Linked DNA regions of Tamandua tetradactyla. The protein of the gene in region 1 interacts with the protein of each later gene in a pairwise test. Links are inferred from orthologs where the notes say so. Each region holds a gene or a part of one and is shown in the gene's direction. Other genes may lie near its edges. The genes, in order: FOSL1 and USF1.

Evidence for each region.
Region 2: the proteins of FOSL1 (region 1) and USF1 interact in binary tests that used the Homo sapiens proteins (3 or more experiments, as listed by UniProt). The link is inferred for Tamandua tetradactyla from reciprocal best matches to the Homo sapiens genes FOSL1 and USF1.

What each region holds. Positions count from the first base shown.
Region 1 is NC_135335.1:8,624,294-8,636,130, forward strand, and holds FOSL1 (fos-related antigen 1), read left to right. Parts: upstream 1-6,097; 5' UTR 6,098-6,328; coding exon 6,329-6,430; intron 6,431-8,248; coding exon 8,249-8,446; intron 8,447-10,016; coding exon 10,017-10,208; intron 10,209-10,620; coding exon 10,621-11,031; 3' UTR 11,032-11,692; downstream 11,693-11,837.
Region 2 is NC_135330.1:14,189,477-14,200,692, reverse strand, and holds the start of USF1 (upstream stimulatory factor 1), read left to right. Parts: upstream 1-6,491; 5' UTR 6,492-6,626; intron 6,627-7,599; exon of another isoform or gene 7,600-8,354; intron 8,355-8,893; 5' UTR 8,894-8,978; coding exon 8,979-8,986; intron 8,987-9,380; coding exon 9,381-9,430; intron 9,431-9,578; coding exon 9,579-9,694; intron 9,695-10,025; coding exon 10,026-10,127; intron 10,128-10,371; coding exon 10,372-10,567; intron 10,568-10,808; coding exon 10,809-10,896; intron 10,897-11,029; coding exon 11,030-11,088; intron 11,089-11,216. Other genes in the region: ARHGAP30 (rho GTPase-activating protein 30), read left to right, coding at 298-469, 549-652, 731-808, 1,399-1,794, 2,785-3,050, 3,143-4,771.

The sequences.
Region 1 (11,837 bases):
GAACGGAATGATTATATGTTAATGTTTTTGTTTGCTTGATGTTAAATTTTTTTTTAATTAATAAATAAATAAATTTTAAAAAGAGAAAAGAAACATGGCTACTGGAACACAACTCTACCTTTTCAGGCAGTTCCCTCCAGCTTCTCCAATACCTCTTAATCTAAATAGGTGATCTCTATATAATGCGTAAGAATAACCTCCAGGATAATTTCTCAACCCTGTTTGGAATCTCTCAGCCACTGACACTTTATTTTGTCTCATTTCACTCTTCCCCCTTTTGGTGGAGTAGGTTTTCTCAGTCCCTTGATGCTGAGTCTCAGCTCATACTAGGATTTCTGTCCCACGTTGCCGGGAAGGTCCACACCCCTGGGAGTCATGTCCCGCGTAGACAGGGGGGGAACAGCCCCAACACTTTCTACCTGGCACCTGGGCATCTGACCACCTCCCTGGGCTGTGAGCCCCTTGGGGCGAGGACCAAGTCCTGAATCATCCTTGCCTCCCCGCTATCTGGCTCAACCCACCGTTTCATTCAGCTAATTCAGGAGACAGGATAACGACACTGGGGCACAGCCATGCACTGGGATGCTGCAGCGCAATGAAACAGAATGAACTGCTGCACCCACAGCAGGGTGAATCTGACAAACACCATGCTGAGCGAGAAACCAGACACAGAAAAGTGCGTACTGTATGATTCCCACTGGCGTGGAATATTCTAGAAGAGGCAAAACTAATCTATCATATGGAGATGAGCTCAGTGATTCCCTGGGGTGGGGGTGGGGTGGGGGATAGACTGACTGCCAAAGGGGAGGAAAGAAGCTTCTGGGGGATGGAAATGTCCTGGGTCTTGATCGGATCAGTGGCTGCTCGGAGCACAATGAGCAAAACGCAAGGCCAGTATGTTTAGAAAGTGCAGATTTGGGGAATGCAAGGATGGTTCGGTGGTAGAATTCTCGCCTGCCATGCAGGAGACCTGGGTTCGAGTCCCAGCCCGTGCACTTACCCCCCCCCCCCAAAAAAAAGTCAATAAATGGTGTTGCAATAATGGAAGAGTCACATGGAAAAAGAATGAAATATGACTTCTACCATTTAAAAAAAAAGTACAGATTTTAGCTAATGTAAAATACACCCCCAATGTAAGATATTTAAAAGGGAAAGAGATCTATAGGTTATGCTCAGCAGAAAGATTTCCAAGATGTAAGAAAACAAAAAAAAACAAGGGGGAAAGTGTGTAGAACAGACTACCTTTTGGGCAAAAAGATATAAAAGAAACTGGGTACATCGTTTCCTTGAGCGGGGAAGCAGAAATGGGAGGGAATTAGCAGGGACATTCTCCTTGTAAACACTTCTGGAACGTGTGGACTTTGAAGTATGGGAACGTATGTATTACCTAGTGGAAGAAGCAATGCCATTAAAAATTTAAAGACATTAAAAATACAAATCATGTTTTGAAATTTGGATTCCTTTTCCTCCACGCGTCCTTTTTATGACCACTCAGTGGGAAAATATATACCCCCCCCCAAAAATGCAAACATTTAAAAAATTATTCTAGTCCCCATACAAAAAAAAAAAAAGATGTAATAGTGAGCATCATGCTAGGGGGCTGTACTGCAGGAAGGGTTTTGACTAGAACAGGGGCTCATGGAGGAAGCAGTGGGTAACTGCAGTGGAGAGAGTTGGCCTGGTGGAGGGGGGTGGGGAGGGCTCCCTGGGGCAGAGGGAGCAGACTGTGCAAAAGTGGAGGGGTCCTCAGTGGTAAAATGCCTGCCTTCCATGCGGGAGACCCAGCTTCGATTCCTGAACCATGCACCACCACAATCCCCCCAAAAAGGAAGGGGTCCACTGAATGAGCCTATGCTGGCGAGGCAGGAGCCCAGGTCCGCCATGTCTGGGAGGGCTTGAAATGCCAATGTTAGGGATACTGGTCCCTTTTGAGGGACACACTAACAAGGCTATGAGAAGCCCCGGCTCTGGAGACCCGGTACGTAGGTTCAAATCCTGGCTCCACCACTATCTCACTGTGTGGCTTTTAGCAGGTGACTTAACTTCTCTGTGCCTCCATTTCCTAATCTGTAAAATGGGTATAACCTTACTATCTACCTCACAGGGTTACCCCGAGGATTGAATAAATTACTTTGAACCATGCCTGGTTCATTGGAGCTCAACAGTGTCATCCCCGAGGCCCTCCAGCCCCTCCAATCAACACATCACCTAAGAGGGTGCATTACCCATCCGCCACCCCGCCCCTCCCCAGGCCTCAGCACCTCCCTGTAGCCTTGCTGAAGGTGCTACAGCTCAGAAGGGTCCAATACAGCGAGTGATGTGGACAGACTTTAAAAGATTCCTCTGGAAACATTTTCATGATTAAAAATGCATATATGCGGGGGTGCACAGGTGGTTCAGTAGTAGAATGTTCGCCTTTCATACGGGAGACCTGGGTTCGATTTCCAGACCATGCACCCTTCCCCCCCAAAAATACATATATCCTTCTGAAGTGATGCAAATGCTCTAAAAATGATAATGGTGATGACTACACAACTATGTGATGATATGGACCGTATGTGTGTGAATATTTGTCAATAAACAAAAAATACATATATCCTCCAGGTTGCAAAGTGGGAGACCTAAAGGAGGGTGCTGAGCTGCAGAATGGGAAAAAGTCCAGGAGAAAGAGAGAGGATGGGGCCAGCCCGTTGACCGGAATTAGAGTGGTACTTCCAGACATGAAGCAACCGGAATTCTTTACCCACGACTGGTGGGACGTAAAACAGTAAAGCCACTTTTTGGAGAACTGTTTGGCGGAATCGACTAAAGTGCCAAGCACACGCCTACCTCCACGACCCAGCAATTCCAGTCCTGCCTGGGCAAATGTCCGAGAGAAATGAATGCAAATGGCCACCAAAGAACACATTGAGAGTGTTCTCAGCAGCCTCATTCATCCTAGCCCCAAACTGGAAGCACCCCCAGTGTTGCCCGCTTTTGATACTTTGCGCACACTAGAATGCAATACAGCAACAGAAAAGAGCTACTGGTTCACTCAGCTCTGTGGACAAACCCCCCCCAGATGGGATGCATGAAAAGACACATACTCCCCTCCAAAGAATACACAAGATATGGCTCCATTTATATGAAGTTCAAGAGCTGGCAGATCTTATCTGTGATGGTAAAAGTCAGAAGAGTGGCTACCTGGGAAGGGACACAGGGAAGTGCCCTACATCATAATGCGAGTGGTAGTTGCACAGGTTTATCTATATGTCAAAAGACATTGAGCTAATGGGCATAGCCCAAGTGCCCCTAAAGGGTGGGAGAAAGATCAAAGGTGATGGTGGAGTTACACAGAGAAGGTAAGGTTTAACAAATGAGTATGAGTGCTGAATCATTATACTGATATTTCTTTTGGTCTCCAGTATCTTAGAGCAGCTAGAAGTAAAAACCTAAAACTGGAATTGTAACCCATACCAAACTCTGAAATTGGTTCTACAACTACTTGTTGCGCTGTATTTTGATATTTTTCACACACAAAAAAGGTCAATTGTGATGCTTAAAAAAAAAAAAAGCATTGAGCTGAACCCCTTAGGAGCGCACTTTCCAGCATGCATGTTAAGCTGCAACTTAAAAAGAACAAACAAACAAAAATGTAATGGAACTGAAAAAATAAGCATCCCCTCCAATGCTCTGGTGGCACTGATTGGGCACACTCATGTATCACACCATTTTACCTCACTGCAACCCCCAAAGCTGGGATTCTCTGGGGCCCAGAGAGGGGAAATGACTGGGCCAGGGTCCCATGGCTGCCAAGGGGCTAGTGCATGGTCTCTCAGGCCTCCTGGCGCCCCACGAGGCTCTCAGCAATCCTCATTGTGACCCCCTGGAGTTCTCTCCTGGCCTCCTGAAGTTGGAGCCGGTGAGGTCAGGGACCAAGAAGACTTCTGCAGCCACAAGGTGGGAGTTAGTGACTGAGGAGTTTGGAATGTGCTGCCTCTGAAAGGGCCTCCTTGTGACTGAGCCGACGGTTAGAGCAGGAAGGGACTTTCAGAGCCGTGTAATCACACACATGCATAACTTGGAAGAGATGGGGAAACAAACTCAGAGGGGCTAAGAGGCTTGCCCCATGTCAGGAGTGGGGCAAGCCCTTGCTCAGGTAGTTGCTTCTGAGGCAGGCAGGTGGATGTGGTCAAGACTGTCCTTGCAGGTGATGCCACCTGGCTTCCTGTGTCATCCCTCCCAATTTGAGCTGAGCCAAGGAGGCCAGATATCAACGTGTGTGAGTGCTTCCTGTTTCCAGAGTCCCAAGGTGCTCCCATCTCTGAGGCTTTTGAGTAGTATGTGGATTTATTTCCACTACTATTTGTTAAGTTCTTACTATGGGGCCAGGTGCTGTGCTTGGCATGGGACAGTACTTCTATGCCTCTACAACTCTGAGGTGTAGTTATCATTGTCTCCATTTTACAGATGAGGAAATGGAGGCTGAGAGATTGCATGCCTCAGCTACAGTCACACAGCTGATGAGCGGCCTGGCCAGAATTCAAACCCAGGACCCAGAATCATCTGATGCATGCACTTCTTCAATTACTATGGTTTCTTTTTGTTTTTCATTGAAGACAAGCCTTGATTAGGACAAGGGCGGGGGTAAGTAGGCTGCTAAGGACCTCCTGAGTAGATGGCACTTTACAGCTTCATTCCATTTATTCCTCATAGCAGCCCCATGAGCTCAGTGGAGAGTCCCAATTCTACCCACCGGGACTGGAGCTGAGAGGAAATGTGACCTGCCCAGGGTCACACACAGACAGAAAACAGTAGCTCTGGCCCTGAAGGGGCCAACCTGGGCTTCTGGCTAAGCCCTGACTGAGTCCACAGACCCCTCTGGCTTCTGTTCCCAAGGAAGGCAATCCTGGACCCTTCTTTTCTGTGGGCTAAACTGGAGCTGATCAAATGGCGGTACCAGTGGAAAAGCAGGAGAACCCAATCTTCTTTCTGTAGTTAAGCCCACTTGCAGCTCCTTGCCCTCTCTGGGCCTTGGTTTCTTATCTATAAAATGGGAGGGGGCAGGGAAGAAGCTTCCAGACAGGTCCCCCCCCCACCCCGTGCTGACATTTGGTGTGAGTGAAAAGATGTCTGTGAAGCTGTGAGGCTTTGAACAGTCTTGGCTGAGCCTGGCCTAGAGCTCCCACAGCCCCGGTTTGAGAACCCAGTTCTCATTTAGTGGGCAATTCATTTCAATATCTCCCAGCCTCAGTTTCCCCATCTGTGAAATGGGGATGATAATGGCACCCACCTCCCAGGGTTATTGGTCTTTGGTTGTTGACATTTGGCTCTTGGCTTCCCATTCACACATTCAAACAAGGCTGGTGACCACAAGGAACACAGATGGCATTTAAAGAAGACGCCGTTCATCAAACACCTACACCCATGTCCCACTGGAGGCTCCCACTGCCTGTAGGGACTCTGTACTAAAGCTTGTTATAGCTCCTGGAATTACCCTGTGAGTAGCACAATTATTATTGTATTGTATTTATGGGTCTTCAAAGTAGTATTTTATTCATTGCAATCCGTACCACCAATTTTGTAATCTGGTTTGTCCTTTATTCACTTTCTAGTATACCTGAAACTTTAAAACCATGCCAGTGGAGGGGCCTCACGCCACGCCTGGGAAGCTGTGGGTGGCACTGAGCAAGGTTCCTGGCTTGAAATAAGCACCCAGTAAATCATCACCATCACCCATCACATTTACAATTCACTTTACAGCTTCCAAACCGCTTTCACATTCATCTTTCCAAACTCCCACGCGTGGCAAGGTAGCTGTGAGATTATATCGTCCTATCTTACAGATGCAAAAACTGAGACCCGGCCAAACTAGGAGGATAGGGGCCGGGAACGCCGCGGCTGGCTTTCTGTCTGCACCCGCGGCGGGGCGGGGCCGGACGGGGCAGGGCGGGGCGGGGCGCGCGGCTCCTGGGCAGGTGCGTAATTCCGTGAGGGGAACCCTCGGCTCCACCTGGGCGCGGCGAGGAAATTGCACCATGTATGGGCAGCTACGTCAGAGGGGGGGAGGATACTTGCAGCACTCCCGGCCGGGAGACGCCGAAGCCACCCCCTCTCCCCAAGAAAAGGCAGCTACCGGACAGTAGGAGGTGTCGAAAAGCTCGGGGCGGACTGGCAAAAGGCTAGAGGCGGAGCCCCGAGGTGACCCGCGCCGCCGCGCACCCCCCGCCCCCCGGTCCAAGTGGTTCAGCCCAAGAACTTTTCATTCATAAAAAAGACTCCACTGGGGAGCGAGTGAGTCAGAACCGCAGCCGCCGACGCGGACCCCGCACAGCAGCCAGCCCAGGGCATGTTCCGAGACTTCGGGGAACCGGGACCGAGCTCCGGCGCGGGCGGCGCGTACGGCGGCCCCTCGCAGCCCCCCGCCGCGGCGCAGGCGGCCGCCCAGCAGGTAAGAGGGGTCCGACGCCCACTGGTGCTCGGGTGGACAGCGCCTGGGACGCCGGGGTGAGCTCGAGAGTGGCTCTGGGGACTGGGGTAGGGAGCCGGGTGGCAGGACCCTGCCCGTTCTCCGCCGTCGAGCGGCCACTTTTCCTCCACCGCCCAGGGGGGACGCGTGCCCCCCCAGCCACTTCCCGGGTCCCCTCCTCCTGCCCAGGGACCCAGGACGCCTGGGTTAGTTGTAGCCCCAGTAGGATCAGAGCGTGTCTCCATCTCGGGCTAAATTCCGGAATCTGGAGTCTGGGCTTGGGCACCGAGGGAGGCGGGGTCCTTGGGCTGACCGGTCCCGACAGAGTGGGACTCCTTGGCACTGTCTGTGTGTCGCTCCGTTTGTCTGTCCTTCCCTCCCCACCCCTCGCCAAGCCCCTGTCCCCTTCTCAGCGGTGGCCCGGGCAGCGGAGCCTGGTGGGCTTCCAGGGACGGGTTCTCAACCCCACGATCGGGCCACTGGAGCCCTGGAGGTGCCGGGACGTGCGCGGGGCCACGTTGCGGGCAACTCCCGCGTCCCCGACTCCTGGCACCGAACAGCGCCCGCTGCCGGCGGGGGGCAGCCAGGAGGCTGCAGGTGTCCATTTCCTGTCGAGGGGCTGCCAACACGTGTCGCCAGGGGAGGGAAAGAGCGGGCGTCCGTTGCGCCGAGTCACGGCCGCCGAGTCACGGAGGCTGACTCACCCGGGGCGCCCCTCCCTTCCTGGCCCGGAGCTGCCGGGCCCGGACAACCTCGGGAGCCGGAGATGCCGTCGGCGGTCTCTCAGGCCCGGAACTGGGGTCACCCGGCCGCTGGGACGGCAGCCTGCACCGGGGCCACCACTGTCCGGACTTGCCTGGGCCTGTAGGGCGCTTCCCGGACGACTAGGTGCCCACACCCAGGGCCCAGCCCCAGGGCTCAAACCCAATTCTCTCAGAACAATGGACCCAGCCCATTCCTCAGATGCAGGCTCCATGCTGGGTGCTTTCCACTTCAGTTACCGCATTTCATTGAATCTAAGATGCCCTTGATCTTAAAACCCACCATTATTTTATGCACGTTAAAGGGGGGTGGGGGTGTGAAACAAGCTAATATTTCAGCAATTAAAAGGTAATTCGTAACACCACTGAAGTGCTCTAATCCTCATTTTTACAGTGTCACGAATGAGGAAACTGAGGCACACTGATTTGCCCCAGTAAGCAACTGAGCTAGGATTAGAACTGGGACAGGTGGAATCCAGAGCAGTGGCCCTTGCCTACCACAAGCCTGTGCACGGGGCACCTCCCACTTTCCAGGCTGTCACCTAAATTCTCTCACCCGATTTTCACAGCCACCTGGGAGCTGGGAAGTGTGATCATCCTCTTTGGGCAGATGGCACTCAGGCAGGGTGCAGGAGTGGGGAAGGGCATAGACTCTGGAGCTGGGCCCCTTGGGGTTTAATTCCACTTTCCACTTCCTAGCTGTTTGTCTGTGGACATCTGCTCCCCTGTCTAAAAATGAAGATAATACTAGAGCTGCCACCTTAGGGCTGTTGTGCAAATTATGAGTTGGTATCTGTATGGTGGTTAGAATACTACCCGGCAGGTCACACTCTATAAGTATCAACTCTGATGGGAAAACAGAGGCACAGAGAGGTTAGGGTACCTGCCCAAAGTCACACAGCTCGTGAGCAGGGCTTTGCCACAGGTCAATCTCTTTCTGGTTTCCCAGTACCAGCAGTTACATTGGGGGTGGATGGCAGTGTGGCCCTATCCACTAGATGTCCCTTAATCCTTGGTCCTCCATTTCTTATCCCCCCAGAAGTTCCACCTTGTGCCAAGCCTCAACACTGTGAGTGGCAGTCAAGAGCTGCAGTGGATGGTGCAGCCTCACTTCGTGGGGCCCAGCAACTACCCCAGGCCCCTGGCCTACCCCCAGTACAGTCCCCCACAACCTCGACCAGGTGTCATCCGGGCCTTGGGGCCACCTCCAGGCATCCGGCGCCGGCCCTGTGAACAGGTAAGGGACAGTGGCGTTGCATTGGTCCTGATACCTACAGGCGTGCTATGGCAGGGAGGAAGAGCGCCTGTCTGAAAGGGTAGGGGTGGGGTGGGAGGAAGGCAGGACCACTGGCAACTATTGCTCAAAGCAGAAAGTGATCAGATGCCAAGGTCACTGCTGGAGCAGGGGAAAGTTTCCTGGAACAGGGGCATAACAGCTGAAAAATATGGGTAGGATTTGCACATGTAGAGATGAAGGAAAGGAAGTTCCAGGTAGACAGAATGGCAGGAGCAAGGAATGGAGGTGGAGGTGAGGATGTGCATGGGGAAAGGTGAATGGGCAGCGGAGGGCCTCTACCTGCCGACATGCATGGAAGGGTGAGCTTATGCCACCCACGGCTCTGTAAAGCTGGGGAGAGAACAGGAACAAGAGGCTCCCCTTCAGCTACTCTCTGAGTCTGTTTCCCTCTCATTTGATCCTCACAAAAACGCTCTGGGGATTGTATGCTGGTTCTCCTCCTTTTTACAGCTGAGGAAACCAAGGCACAGAAAGGTAGAGTCACTCAGGCAAGATCCCATAAGTGGTGAGCAATGAGACAGGTCTAACTCTAAAGTAGGCTGCTAACCACCAAAGCTGCACTGACAGGTGTCACCAGCAGGCTGGAAGCCAGGGACTCTGCCTCCCCTACCAGGTGCCCTCACCAAAATGAATAAATAAGCAATGTGGGTCTTAAAAGAGGTGCCTCCTCCTTCCTCTCCCTGGCGAGCTTTAGTACTTGACAACTGGGTGAGGCTTTGTTGTTTAAATGTTTTTCTAGGACAGTAGGGTAGCGAATGGGGAGGGAAGTTGGGTCCTGGGGAAGATGTGAGATGGACCAGCATGGGGTTTCCAGAATCAGAATGGCTGGCCTTTGTGACCAACTGGAGGATGGGAGAGCGGTGTGGGCCCCAGAGGCAGCCACCTCCTGGACTTTCAGCCCCCTGGGTTCTCCCCAGTGAGAGCTGTGAGGTGGGGGTTCTTTTGAGGGAGGTGGTCTCCAGCAGCTGGCCTCCTTGAAGAGCTAGTGGGTCCTAAATCCTGCTCCAGAACCTTGAACACATTTTTCATTCCCCCCTGGGCTTTAGTTCCTCACATGGCAAGTGGGGCTATGTATCCATAAAGCACTTGGCTGGCACATAGTAGGTTCCCAATAAACTGCAGTTTATTCAGTGGCCCTCACTAGCCCCTCCTAGTGCTCACAGCCCGTGGGAAAGAGGAGACTGGGTCATCAAGAGTTCAGAGATGGAGACAGATGAGGGTCCTGCGAAAAGAGGCGGCTTGGTCCCCAGGGCTCAGAGGGGGAGAGGCCACATCTGGCTGGGGAATAAGAGACTTCCTGGAGGCGGGGGCATCTTCGCCAAGTTCTGGGAGATGAGGAGGGTTAACATTCCGGGAAATGATAAGAGGCAAAGGCTGGGTGCTAGAAAGAAATTGGACCAATCCAGGCTGACGGGAGCTTGGGTGCTGGGAGTCAGTGGGCCGGGGTGCGGGGCTCTCTCAACCCGACTGACGCCCCCCCCCCCGCCCCCGCTGCCATGCCCTCCGCCAGGGTCCTACGGCGGGGCCGCCGTGGGGGAGTGCCGGGCACCCTGCGGCCCAGGACCCGCCTCACCGCCGACCCCCGGTCCCCCAGATCAGTCCTGAGGAGGAGGAGCGCCGCCGAGTGAGGCGCGAGCGGAACAAGCTAGCCGCCGCCAAGTGCCGGAACCGGAGGAAGGAACTGACCGACTTCCTGCAGGCGGTGAGCACCGACCCGGGCCCACCGAGGCTCGGCGGGTCCGGGGGCGCCCTAGGGTGCGCGGGGGGCCAGTGGTCTCCACTCTCTCTCCCCCACCTCCCGGCTGCCTGCCCGAGGGGGGGGAAGCCCTTCCAGGAAAAGGACGAGGAAACAGCGAGTTAAAACGAGTGGCAGCGCGCCTCACTCTGTAATCCAGGCAAATCGCCGGTCCTCCCCGACTCAATCCTTCTCGCGGAAGGAGGAAGGGGCACGGAAGACAGACGCCCCCAGGCCTTCTGGGAGCCCGGCCCATTTTCTCCCGGGGGCTCACGGGAGTTGTAGTCCAACCCCCTCCCCGCCCCACCCTGCCTCTCCCCCGAGGCCGCGGGATCCTCAGCCCTCAGCTTCCTGATGACTCCCGCGCCTCCCTCTCCAGGAGACCGACAAACTGGAGGGCGAGAAGTCCGGGCTGCAGCGAGAAATTGAGGAGCTGCAGAAGCAGAAGGAGCGCCTGGAGCTGGTGCTCGAAGCCCACCGCCCCATCTGCAAAATCCCGGAGGGGGCCGAGGAAAGTGGCGCAGGTGGTCCCAGCGGCAGCAGCAGCCCGCCCGGCCCCTCCCGTCCTGTGCCTTGTATCTCCCTTTCCCCCGGTCCGGTGCTTGAGCCCGAGGCGTTGCACACCCCCACACTCATGACTACACCCTCCCTGACCCCATTCACCCCCAGCCTGGTCTTCACCTACCCCAGCACTCCCGAACCCTGCTCCTCGGCTCATCGGAGGAGTAGCAGCAGCAGCGGGGACCCGTCCTCTGACCCTCTCGGCTCCCCCACCCTCTTGGCCTTGTGAGGTGCGCTAGCCTCCCTGCCTGCGGGAGCCACCATAGCCCGACATTCTGCCGCCCCCATTGGTCCAGCTGGCCTGGACGGTACCCCACATCCTACGCCAGCAGGTTTTGTGTTTTTCCATTTCTCCAGATGAGACTGAGAATATTTTGCTTTGCAGAAGAGCCAGCTCGGGCCCACCAAAACTGCCAGCTGCTTCTCTAGAGCTGACCCCTCTGGCACAGTTTGCACTAAATCAGAGATAAAATATTTCCCATTTCTGCCATAGACCTCTGGGCAGCCCCAAAGGACTTCATAAAGCCCTAGAGGACCTCTGGAGCCCCAGATGCAGTCCCACAGTCTCTGTCACCCTCTTCTTGTGATCCACCCAACCCAACCCTCTGACAAAAGGTGCCATTCTATCAGCCCAGAACACTAATTCACCCAGTCCCACTGCCAGCAGCACCAGATGATTGGACCAGGCCATTCTGCCGGCCCCTCCTGATTGACACAGCCCAGGAAGGTGTCAGAGGCTCCTGTGATGAGCTGCCCTGCAGTCCCCAGCTCTGAGGAGCCTTCCACTCCAGGGAATCCAGGCCCCCACAGTGAGGGCAGCTGCTATTTATTTTCCTAAAAAGAATATTTTTGTACAAACCTACCAAATAAAACAAGAGGCTTGAAGCTTTGACCTGAGTGTCTCTGGACCCCAAGCCTTAAAGGGGGCCTTTGGAGCCAGAAGCCCCGTTTCCGGGCTCATCTCCACCGATTCACTGCGTGATCTTGAGCAAATTCTTTGGTATCTCTAGCTCTGAATTGTGTATTCTGACAAAC
Region 2 (11,216 bases), on another chromosome or scaffold:
CTCTGTTACTCTCAGTCCAAGATGCAGCTTGACCTCTTGCCATCACCATGCTGTTCCCTAAAGCTATTCATTGCTTATTATCATTCCCAGACCACCGGGTCAATGCCCTAGCATCTCCTGACCTTCTCTGTCTGAGAGCACCCTTTTGAGGAGGTGGATATGGAGGGCTTGATCCTAGGGGCTCTGAGTACCTTCCTAGCAGGTGGCTGATGAGGGGCGGGGAGTGCAATGAATAGTTGAATGCCTGAGGTCCTTCTGCATCTGTGCCTGGTTGGCAAATTCCTTTTCTTTTCCCAGCTGGTGAGGTGGAGGGTACGTGGCGATTGCTTCCAGGGACCCGGGCATCTGGCGGGCTTGAGGACCATATGCCCAGGTCTTTGCCCTACCACCTGCCTAGCATCCTGCAAGCCGGTGATGGACCCCCACAGATCCGGCCCTACCACACTATCATTGAGATTGCAGAGCACAAGTAAGGCCTCCTTCCTGGGCTCTCCTCCCTTGCACTGACCACCTGCCCCCAACCCTCAGTTATTTCTTCTTCTATGCAGAAGGAAGGGATCTTTGAAGGTCAGGAAATGGAGATCCATCTTTAATCTGGGGCGCTCTGGCCATGAGACGAAGCGTAAACTTCCACGGGGTGGTGAGGACAGGGGTAAGTCTAGGGAGGTGTGGGGAAAGCTCTAATGAGCATGTGTAAATCCCTGACTCTATGTACATCCCTTTCTTGCAGAGGACAAGTCCGATAAGGGGACACTGCGGCCAGCCAAGAGCATGGACTCACTGAGTGCTGCAGCTGGGGCCAGTGATGGTGAGTATAGGTGTGTACTCGTGTGTGTGTGTGTATGTCGTGTGTTGTATAATCAGTGACATGGGTCTGGGTGCATCTGGGTGCATGCCTATGAATGTGTCTGCGAGAGAACAGTGTTATGGTGAGACCAGAATGTGTGCATCCCTATGTATGTGTGTCTGTACATGAGGCCAATAATGTTTAATAATTTTAAAAATATTTAATGAGTGCCTGTTCTACACCAGTCACTGTACTGGATGCTGGGTTTATAGTGGTGACTTATAGTCTAATCTATGTGTATTCATATGACTGTCAATGGAAGTAAGTGAAAGTATGATGTGGATGAAGGAGCAGCATGTGTGTGTGTATGTGTATGTTAATAAAGGTCAGTGACTTTATCTTCATGGAGGGGAAAGACGTTCCCTGGGTAAGCAGGTGGAATAAACTGATTTTCTAGCTGCTGAAGGTTTGCACTAGTGGCTGAGAGAGCTGGGTCTGGTGACTTCCAGGCTTGCCTGCTTCTCAAGGAGCACTCTTCAGAGCCTTCCTGAGAAGTTTAGGCCTCTTGCAGCTAAGACTATTGCCTACCTGGACCTCTCTCTCCTCCACAGAGCCAGAGGGGCTGGTAGGACCCAGCAGCTCGCAGCCAAACTCACTGCTAACTGAGAGCTTGGAAAACGATTCTGTGGAGGCAGCAGAGGGCGAGCAGGAGCTCGAGGCAGAAGCTCTGGGTGGCACAAACTCTGAGCCAGGCACACCGCGAGCTGGGCGGTCAACAGCCCGGGTCGGGGGCAGCAGCCGCGCAGAACGCTGTGTCGGAGTCCACATCTCAGACCCCTACAATGTCAACCTTCCCCTACACATCACCTCTATCCTCAGTGTGCCACCGAACATCATCTCCAACGTCTCCTTGGCCAGACTCACCCGCGGCCTTGAGTGCCCCGCCCTACAGCCCCGGCCAAGCCTGGCCTCTGGCTCAGGCCCAGGCCCAGGCCCTGGTCCTCCAGGTGAGGACTGAGAAAGGGGACTAGAACTGGGTAAAGGGGTTACAGCGCTAGGCTGAAGTTCAGGTCTGATGCAGGGATCCACCTTGGAAGGGCAGAGGCTTTAGTCCTTGGGCTTTGGGGTGCTTGTCTTCAATTGCCTCCCGGGGGGGGGGGAATCCAGTTACATCAGACTGTATGAAATCCACTGACAGAGTACCTCTGGCAACCTTTAGGTCAGTGCTGTATACAGGAATGGGCGTCTATGCCAGATATATGCAGCAGGGATTACTAAGTACTGGTGTGGGAATATATAATAGGTGATAGTACTACTAATAATATGAATAATAACAGCTAACATCTACCAAGGGCAAATTATGTGCCAAGTGCCATATTAAACTCCTGGTAGGTGTTAGCTTGTTTAATTTTCTCATAACCTTATGACCTAGGTATTGTTCTTACCCTTATTTTACAGTGGAGGAACCTGAGACTTAGGTCTAGCAGTTTGCTATCACTCTAAGTAGGAAGTAGTAGAACTGGGATCTAATTTTTGCTCTGACTCCTGTTCCTGAAGTGTTATTAATGAGAAGTACTGAGGCAGCATAGCCTAGTGACTGAGGTCATAAGCTGTGGTGTTAAATAGACTTGGGTTCAAATTTTGGCTTTGCTACTTATTGGATGTGGGACCTTGGACAAAATAGTTTATTCTCTCTGAGCCTCAGTTTCCTCTGCTTATAATGTGGGAACAATACCTTATATAATAGGGTTGTTTTGAGGGGAAAACAAGATATGCATTGTAAAATGTATAGCATGGTGCTTAGCACCTGGCAGGTGCTGAATAAAAGGAGGCTACAAGCCAAGAGTTAGGGATATTGATCTAAGAGGATCAGCTATGCGGAATGTCTGTGCTGGGAGCACTGGGCCTATACTCTATCAGTGCTAGAAAGACTCATGTGGAAAGGGTCAAGGCTGGCCTGGCCCTTTGGATTTCTGGGACTACCTCTCTCTCAACAGATGAGAAGTCAGAGGCAAGTTCAGCCCCTGGTTCCCTGGCTGACTCTGGCCAAGCAGAAGTGGCCCCTGCCCTGGAAGACTCCCTGTCCCAGGAGGTGCAGGATTCCTTCTCCTTCCTAGAGGACTCAAGCAGCTCAGATCCTGAGTGGGTGGGGGTGGAGGATGGGGAGGTGACCAAGGCAGGAGCGGCAGGAGCAGCTTTCTCTCCTGTGGAGGACGATCCTGGGATGGGCTACCTGGAGGAGCTCCTGGGAATTGGGCCTCAGGTAAGATGGAGGTGTGCTGGGTTTTGGGGTGGTATGGGATCTGGAGGGTGGATAGGGTCGCCCAGTCCTGAGCTACAACACCATGTCTACAGGTGGAGGAGTTCTCTGTGGAACCACCCCTTGATGATCTGTCTCTGGATGAGGGACAGTTTGTTCTGGCTCCCAGCTGCTGTTCCCTGGACCTGGCTAGCCCCAGGCCTGATGCAGAGGAGGAAGGTGGGGAGGAAGTCTTCCTGAGTGCCTACGATGACCTAGATCCCCTTATGGGACCCAAATCCTCAAACTGGGAGGGTCCAGGGAATCTGGAAGAAGAGGCAGCAGGGTGCAGAAGATGGTCTCCAGGACAGGTTGAGGGAGAGCAGGTGTGTACGGAAGTTGGGGAGGACAAGGAGTCTGAGCCTGGAAGCAGATGGGATGTTAGGGAGGAGGCTGAGGGATGTCCACAGACTGAGGAAGGGGCTGGAGTGGCTGGTGAGGAAGGAGCAGAGGCTAAGGGAGACCAAGACATGATGGTCAGTTTGAGAGATGGGAGTGGGGAAGAGACAGAGGCCAAGGGAGAGAAGTCCAAAAGTCAGATGGATGCTGAGAATGAGGCTAAAGGTGTGGAAGAATCAGGAGAGGAGCATGGTAAAGACAAGGAGAAGGAAAGAGAGAATGAGAGAGAGGAAGAGACTGATGGAGGAGGGGAAGTCCAGGCAGAAGTTGAACAGGACCCAGAACATGGGACCCAGGAACACCAAGTTGCTGAGGAGAGCTGGGAAGTTATACATGAACAAGAGGCTGAGGGAGGCAGGGAGGATGAGGTCAAAGGACAGAGAGGGAAGGGGGGTCAAGAGGCAATAGAAGATCAAGGAAATGGTGAAGACAGAAGCCCAGAAGACGCAGCTGGAGGAGGAGCAGGGGTAGTGAGCAAGGAACGGGAGAGTGGAGATGGGGAAGCTGAGGGAGACCAGAGAGCTGAAGGTGACCATATAGAAAAGGGTTCTTTCCCTGAAGGGTCAGTCATAGAGTGCTTGGAGGTCGACAGTAACAAAGAGGGCAACGCTCAGGCCTCTGAGGGGGAACAGGCAACTCCACAACCACCCCGGCCAGAAGAGATGGAACCTGAGGGGCATCCCAGTTCAGACAGCTGCAATCTGTGCCTCTGTACCCTTGACTCAGTCAGTGGTGTGGGCATGCGTCTGGCTTCCACCCTCGTTCAGGTCCAACAGGTCCGCTCTGTGCCTGTGGTGCCCCCCAAACCACAGTTTGCCAAGAAACCCAGTGCACTGTGTAGCAAGATCCATGTGGCACCTGCAAACCCATGTCCAAGGCCTGGCCGGCTTGATGGGACTCCTGGGGAAAGAGTTTGGGGGTCTCGAGCCTCCCGCTCCTCCTGGAGGAATGGGGGTAGTCTTTCCTTTGATGCTGCTGTGGCCCTGGCCCGGGACCGCCAAAGAACTGAGGCTCAGGGAGTTCAGCGGACCCAGACCTATACTGGGGGCGGGGACTATAGCTTCATTCCCAGAACCTTTCCCTGTAGCATGACCCCAGCCCATTCTCCTCGGCCCCTTAGCTGCCTGGAGCTCCAACCTGAAGGTACAGAAGGATCTGGACCCCGGAGTCGACTTAGTCTGCCCCCCACAGAACTCCAGCCCCCTGACTCCCTTATGCCCCCCCAGCGCCGATCGTATGCATTCGAAACACATGCTGACCCTGGAAAAGTGAGGGACTGTGATTAGGACCAAAGCACTGGGTAAAGGGGACCAGTCAGTTGTTTTGAATCTCCAGGCCCCCTGAACAGCTGTCTCTTCTGCAGCCTGAGCAGCTGTAGTACCCAACTCTATAGGCTTTGGCTCTCCAGCTTCTCTTTTTGACTCTGGGAGGCTGCAGCCTTGATTGATTTACCTGAGCTTGTCTCAGATAGAAAGCACTTATCTCTTAGGAGATTCCTAAGAAATCTTGTTTCTAGAGAGAGCAGTCATTGACAAAGAGAACAGAGGGTGGGCTGAGAGCTTAAGATAGAGATTTCTCAAAGTAAAGAGTAGAAGGGGAATTTCAACCATGTTCCTGCCCTCCTCTGAGGCTGTGATGTCCTTTATGGAAGCCCAGGGTGGAAGGGAGAAGAAAAGGCCAGGTCAGAGCCTACCTCACACAAACACTTCTAGAGATGCCCAGCCCTGGACTGTTATTGGATCCTTGGATACATTCTGACCTTCTGAGCTTCAGATTGCCAGGAATGTGTCAGGAAGCTCTTTGGATGCCTCAAAATTTGTTGGGGGGACTGACCCCTTCCTGGTCCCCCCACCACCCTCTGCCTTCAGTCACCTTTGGGAAGAAGGGTCCTGTAGCTATCTCTCTGGCCTCTCCTTTTCCCTTTGGAATAGCCTCCTCCTATCTCAGGATAGAAGTCACTCAGGTTCTAGGACTGCTTTTCCAAACAGGCTGAGGCTACAGGTCTCACTCTAGTAAGATGCAAAGTTTCGGAATAAAAGTTGTATTTTTACACATAAATAGTGTGGTATTTCATTATGCTTATTAAAGTCTTGGGTTGTAGGTATCATCTTTTCATGTTTGGGCAAACATCTCTTTTTATTGTTTGGGTGTTCTTCCTTAGTTGTTGTCATGGGGATCTGTGGCTAGAAACTAGAGCTGGGTTCACAGTGGTCAGGAAAGGGGGAAGAGAAACTGACATTTACATAATTTTCAATATGTGCTAGAAACTGGGATAGGTCTTCTATGTGCATAGAGTCTACGTCCTTCATTTTATTTAACTCATGTAACAATTCTGTAAGGTTAGTACTGATACCTACATTTAAGGGAGCAAGGGGCCAAGGCTCACTTAAGTTAAAAGGCCAGCCAAGGATCTCAGAGGTAAGACGTGGCAGGCGGGGGGTGGGTTTGAGGCCCAGGGTTGTGGAGCCCCACAGCCTGTTCTTTTCATTGTACCACATTACTACAAATCCATTAAGGGTAGATCCTGACTGGGGAGAATAGGAATTAACATCCCTCCCACAGACACCGAAGATTGGGGTCTGTGGGTGAGGTGCGGTTGATGCTAATGGCAAGGAGTACATCCGACAGCTTTCCTAAATTCCACTAGAAAACACTTAAAAGAGATGTCCCGGTCCAAGATGGCCTCCCACATAGCCCTTATTAAAGATGGCGCCTCCAGCTGACGTCCCTTCCGAGTTAACCTGGGCTCCCTCAACCCCTTTTCTCCTGGGATTAAAAAAGCCCTGCCCAGCACAAAAATGGCAGTTCAAGTTAGTCATTTTTCTCCGCTTCCTGCTCTCCTGCTGAAAGCCACTAGGAACTCCACTGTCATTATACTGGGACAGCAGCAGTTGGTTCTCCTCCGCTCCAGCAATACCCCACCACCTCGGCATTCCTCAACCTGCATCAAGATGGGGCTAACGGAAGTGGGGCGGCTCCATGGCTATAAGCAGGCAGGGCGGGTCGAGAGAGACACTTCCGCCCCTCACCAATATGGCCGCGGGTTGGGAACGCGCATGAGCAGCTGTCTATGGAGCTACCCGGGTCTGGGGTGGGGAGAACACCGTCCGGGAAAAGCAGCGGCTGAGGCGGCTTTGGCCGGTGAGTGCAGGACCGGATGCGAGTCTGGAGAGTGATGAACCGGCAGAGCTGAGCAGCTTTAATTTGTTTTAGTTTTTTTAGGTTAGGGAACTCCTGTGGAGGGAGCCTTTGTTTTGGGGGAGGGGGCCGCGCCTGATTCTTTATCTCCTACCCCCTTAGTGGGCCGAACTCGTTCCCCGCCCCGCGCGCGCTCGCCCCCGCCCTCCTGCGGTCCTCGGCCGTCGATCGCGGCAGGGGGCGCCGGGCCACCGAGGGTCCCCGAACCGCTGGCGCCCTTTGCTCCCTCTACCGCGGGCTGAGCGCGGCGGGGCTGGCGGGGTCAAGGCGCGGGCTCCCGGCTTAGTGCCCTGCTCCGTCGGCGCCTGCCGGTTGGTGGGCCTGCAGGGAGACGTCGCATTCCCAGGCAAAGTCTAGGCGTCTGTCTTCTTTCGGGACTTCATTTTTTTTCCCCTTTTGTGTCCAGATTTAGCAAGGGCTCTGGCTGGTCCCTCCTCGCCTGAGTGTGCAGGCTACAACATCCTATCCCAATTTCCGTGTCGCACATCCCTAAGGCTCAATAAATACTTTTCTGATGTCCAACTGAGATTCAACTAAGTAGCCTGACCCCGTTGCTCGGTGTCCTCAGGTGCTACACCTGGCTGACAGCTGTGGATAATAGGGATGCCTCCCTATTCCTTGCTCTCTCTTTCTTTACCTCCTTCTGCAGTCAGCGCTGCAAGCCTCGGGAGGGGCATTTCTTCCTTGCTTTTAGGATGGAGAGGCAGGTGGTCCTGAAACACTACTGCTACTTCCCCTTAGGGACTGGAATCTCCTTGCAGTGTTACTTCCTCTGGCAGTTTCACTTTCAGTTCCTTTTTTTAAAAAATACTTTCTTTGGAACGGGCTTTCCAAGGCTTATCCAAGAATGAAGATTTTCCTTGGCTAGGGAAGGGTTTAGGGTTTGGGGTTTGGGGGAGCATAGGGAGAGAGAGTTTATAAAAATCTTACCTGTTTTGTGTTGGGATTATTTTATTGCTTTGTAAAACGATGCTAATTCTCTCTGGAGGTATCTGTCTGCTCAACCCTTTGTTCTTCCTGTCCTCTGACTGTCAAGGTCCAAAGGCAGGCATCTTATGTTATAGACTGAATCATGTCCCCCACAAAGAGATGTTCAAATCCTAATCCCTGGTTCTGTGGATGTGAACTCATTTGTAAGTAGGATATTCGAAGATGTTATTAGTTATGGTGAGGCCAAATTGAATCAGGGTGGGCCTTATCCATTATGACTGGAACCCTCATAAGCAGAGGAAGTTTGGCCACAGTCAGTAGTAGGAGACAGAAGGAGATAGATGGCCACGTGACAGAGGCAGAGACTGAGTTAAGGATTACCAGCAAACTATCACCAGGATGCTCCAGACTTCAGAGAAAGCCTGATCCTGCCAACACCTTGAGTTTAGACTTTTAGGCTCCAAATCTGTGAGACAATAAATTCCTGTTGTTTAAGCCAACCAGTGTGTGGTATTTGTTATGGTAGCCTTGGCAAGCTAAAACAACTTGTGAATGGATTCTTCCCCCACTGTCTCTTCTCCTTCAGAACCCTGAGCCTGGAATTTTCTCATTCTTATTGAGGCTCAGTTGATTTGGAGTTGTCATGGCAACATGTTAGCAAATGTGTTTGGCAGGAAGCCTTGGTGAATAAAACCACAGGGGCTTAAAGAGGCTGCACTTGGGCTTTAGGGTCTCTAACAGGTGACATAAATCTGGACATCCCCAAACGAGAGCCCTGTCAACAAAATAGGGCCTGAGGGCCAAGTCTGGTCTTTGTGGTTAGCGATGTGTTTGCAGTGGCAGTGGGCTTTGGTTTTCCCCTCCATAGAATCAAGAATAGAGATTTCTTGGTATTCAGAATGTGGCTGAGAAGCTGGAAGAAGCATCAGTGTCATGGCCCTGTGGTCTTTGCTGGTGTTGGTCTAACATGGGTCTTCATAATCCCCATGAAGCTGCTGTCATATCAGATCATATGACTATAATAATCCAATCAGATATGTTATTTCTCAGTCTTCCAGTCCAATTATCCCCTCTCCAGATAGAGTTGGAGTGATAATAGAGGGCAAAGCACATCGTTTTTAGAGTGGCTTTTTCACCCACTTTAGCCCAATTCTAGGTATCAAAATGGCAGAGACTGATTGGATTATATTCTTGGCTGTGTTTTCATGGGGCCCAGGTTCTAGAACTAGGGGTGCTTTTCAGTTTCCTAGACTCATTGCAAACTCCCTGATTTCTCCCAGGACTTAGCACACAGGGCTGTGAGGCAGGAGATACGAAGACCTCAAGAGAAGGACCAGGTCCTCGGATGTGCCCCCTCACAGAGAGATGAAGGGGTGAGTCAAGAAGAAGTAGACTGGTACAGGAGGGAGGTGGCTTGGGAGAATGGTAATATGGCTAAGAGAATTTGCTCTGGAGTCACACCTGGATTCAGGTTCCAGCTCCATCACTTCTAGTTGTGTGATTTGGTTTCTCCGTGTATAAAATGGAGGTAGTGCTGCCTACCTCATAGGGGTGTTCCTAGTATTAAATGAGATAGTGCATGTTAAGTGCTTAGCTCAGTGCCTGGGTCCATATTAAACACTCAGTAAGTATTAGCTGTTGTTATTCCAATCTAATCTAGCATCTGTTGGGAATGCCACTGAGTTTGGGAGCCATATGTTACTGGATCAGTGAGCTTCCCATTCATTTCTTTCCTCATCCCTCCTTTTGTCCCTTATTCACAAATAGGCAGCAGAAAACAGCTGAAACAGAAGAGGGGACAGTGCAGATTCAGGAAGGTGAGTGGTAACAACAGATTTGAGAGCATATCATGGCCTCCCCCGTGGCCCATCTCTTGTGCACTCTCCTCCTTCTAAATGACATGCATGTGGAACAGAGGGATAAGGGCAGTAGCTCATAAACCTTTCTTTTGCTCTTTTAATTCAGGTGCAGTGGCAACTGGGGAGGACCCAACCAGTGTGGCTATTGCCAGCATCCAGTCAGCTGCCACCTTCCCTGACCCCAACGTCAAGTACGTCTTCCGAACTGAGAATGGGGGCCAGGTAAGGGAGGGGGCCAGGTGGCTGCAGGTGTGAACTGGGGTTGGGATTGAGGGAGGTAATTGAACATGTCTTAGGGGAAACTTGGCTTGGAGGATGAGGCAAAGATGTGAACTGTTTGGGGGTGGATAAGGCATAGAGTAAAGATTGTTGTGGCTTGGGGTTATGTTGGGACGTCTATACGGCAGAAAGGGGGGAAAGGCTGAATCTGTGTCTCAGAAGAACTCTTGTTTTGGGGCCTTATCCAATGGAAGTTCAATGAGGGGCCCTGGATTCCCCAGCACTTACTTTTTTCTTCTCTCTCCCCCTCGTCCCTCTTTTCTCCACACTTTAGGTGATGTACAGGGTGATCCAGGTGTCTGAGGGGCAGCTGGATGGCCAGACTGAGGGCACTGGTGCCATCAGTGGCTATCCTGCCACTCAATCCATGACCCAGGTACAGGAGTCTGGGCTGGGACAGGGACTAGAGTTCTGAACAGTAAGATGAAGATGGGAACCAATAGAATGGGAGGTGAAGCTAGAGAGGGTGTGGCATCTGGGACTCCCTTATCCTTAGACATTAGGCTCTTCCTTTCTGGATATCCTTCTACTCTCCAATAAGGGATGGAAGCTGCAGAGTGGTATGGTGGGAAGCTGTGTCTGACTATCACTCAACTCTGTCCTTTTGCTTTCCTTCCCAGGCAGTGATCCAGGGCGCATTCACCAGTGATGATGCAGTTGACACAGAGGGGACAGCAGCTGAGACACACTATACTTACTTCCCCAGTACTGCAGTGGGAGATGGGGCAGGGGGCACCACATCAGGGAGTACAGCTGCTGTTGTTACTACCCAGGGCTCAGAGGCATTACTGGGGCAGGCAACTCCTCCTGGCACTGGTGAGATATCATATGCAAACACTGGCTATAGGGGTTAGGTCAGGTTGTGGGACATTCCTGGTGGCAGTGGGCCTTTACTCATGTCCGCGTAGGTGTTCACTAAGGCCTGGGCAGGCAGTGGGTCTTCCTTTCAGCAGAAGAAAGCATGTTTGTTTAGAGGAGGTTCCCTGGACCTTGGTTTCAGAGCTTGGTGGGGTTCCTAGTTCCATGACCTTACAGAACCTAACCTGCATGTTCATAGGTCAATTCTTTGTGATGATGTCACCACAAGAAGTGTTGCAGGGAGGCAGCCAGCGCTCCATTGCCCCTAGGACTCACCCTTATTCCCCGTGAGTAACCCCTTTTCCCCAATTACCATGAGTAGTCTTGATTCCTGACAAGTCTCATATAATCCTTTACTTCAAACTCCCATCTTATATTTTCTCCTTGCCTTACTCTGGCCTCCCTGGCTTCTGTTGTCAGGAAATCAGAAGCTCCCCGCACGACTCGGGATGAGAAGCGCAGGGCTCAGCACAATGAAGGTATGTTGACCTAATAGGCAGCTGTACCCTGAATCTGACTGGTGGGATTAGGGACAGTGGTTTGAGGGTGGAAGGGAGTTGGGTAGTTTTACACCCTGGGGCCTGTGGCAGGTTCTCACCCTGCTATC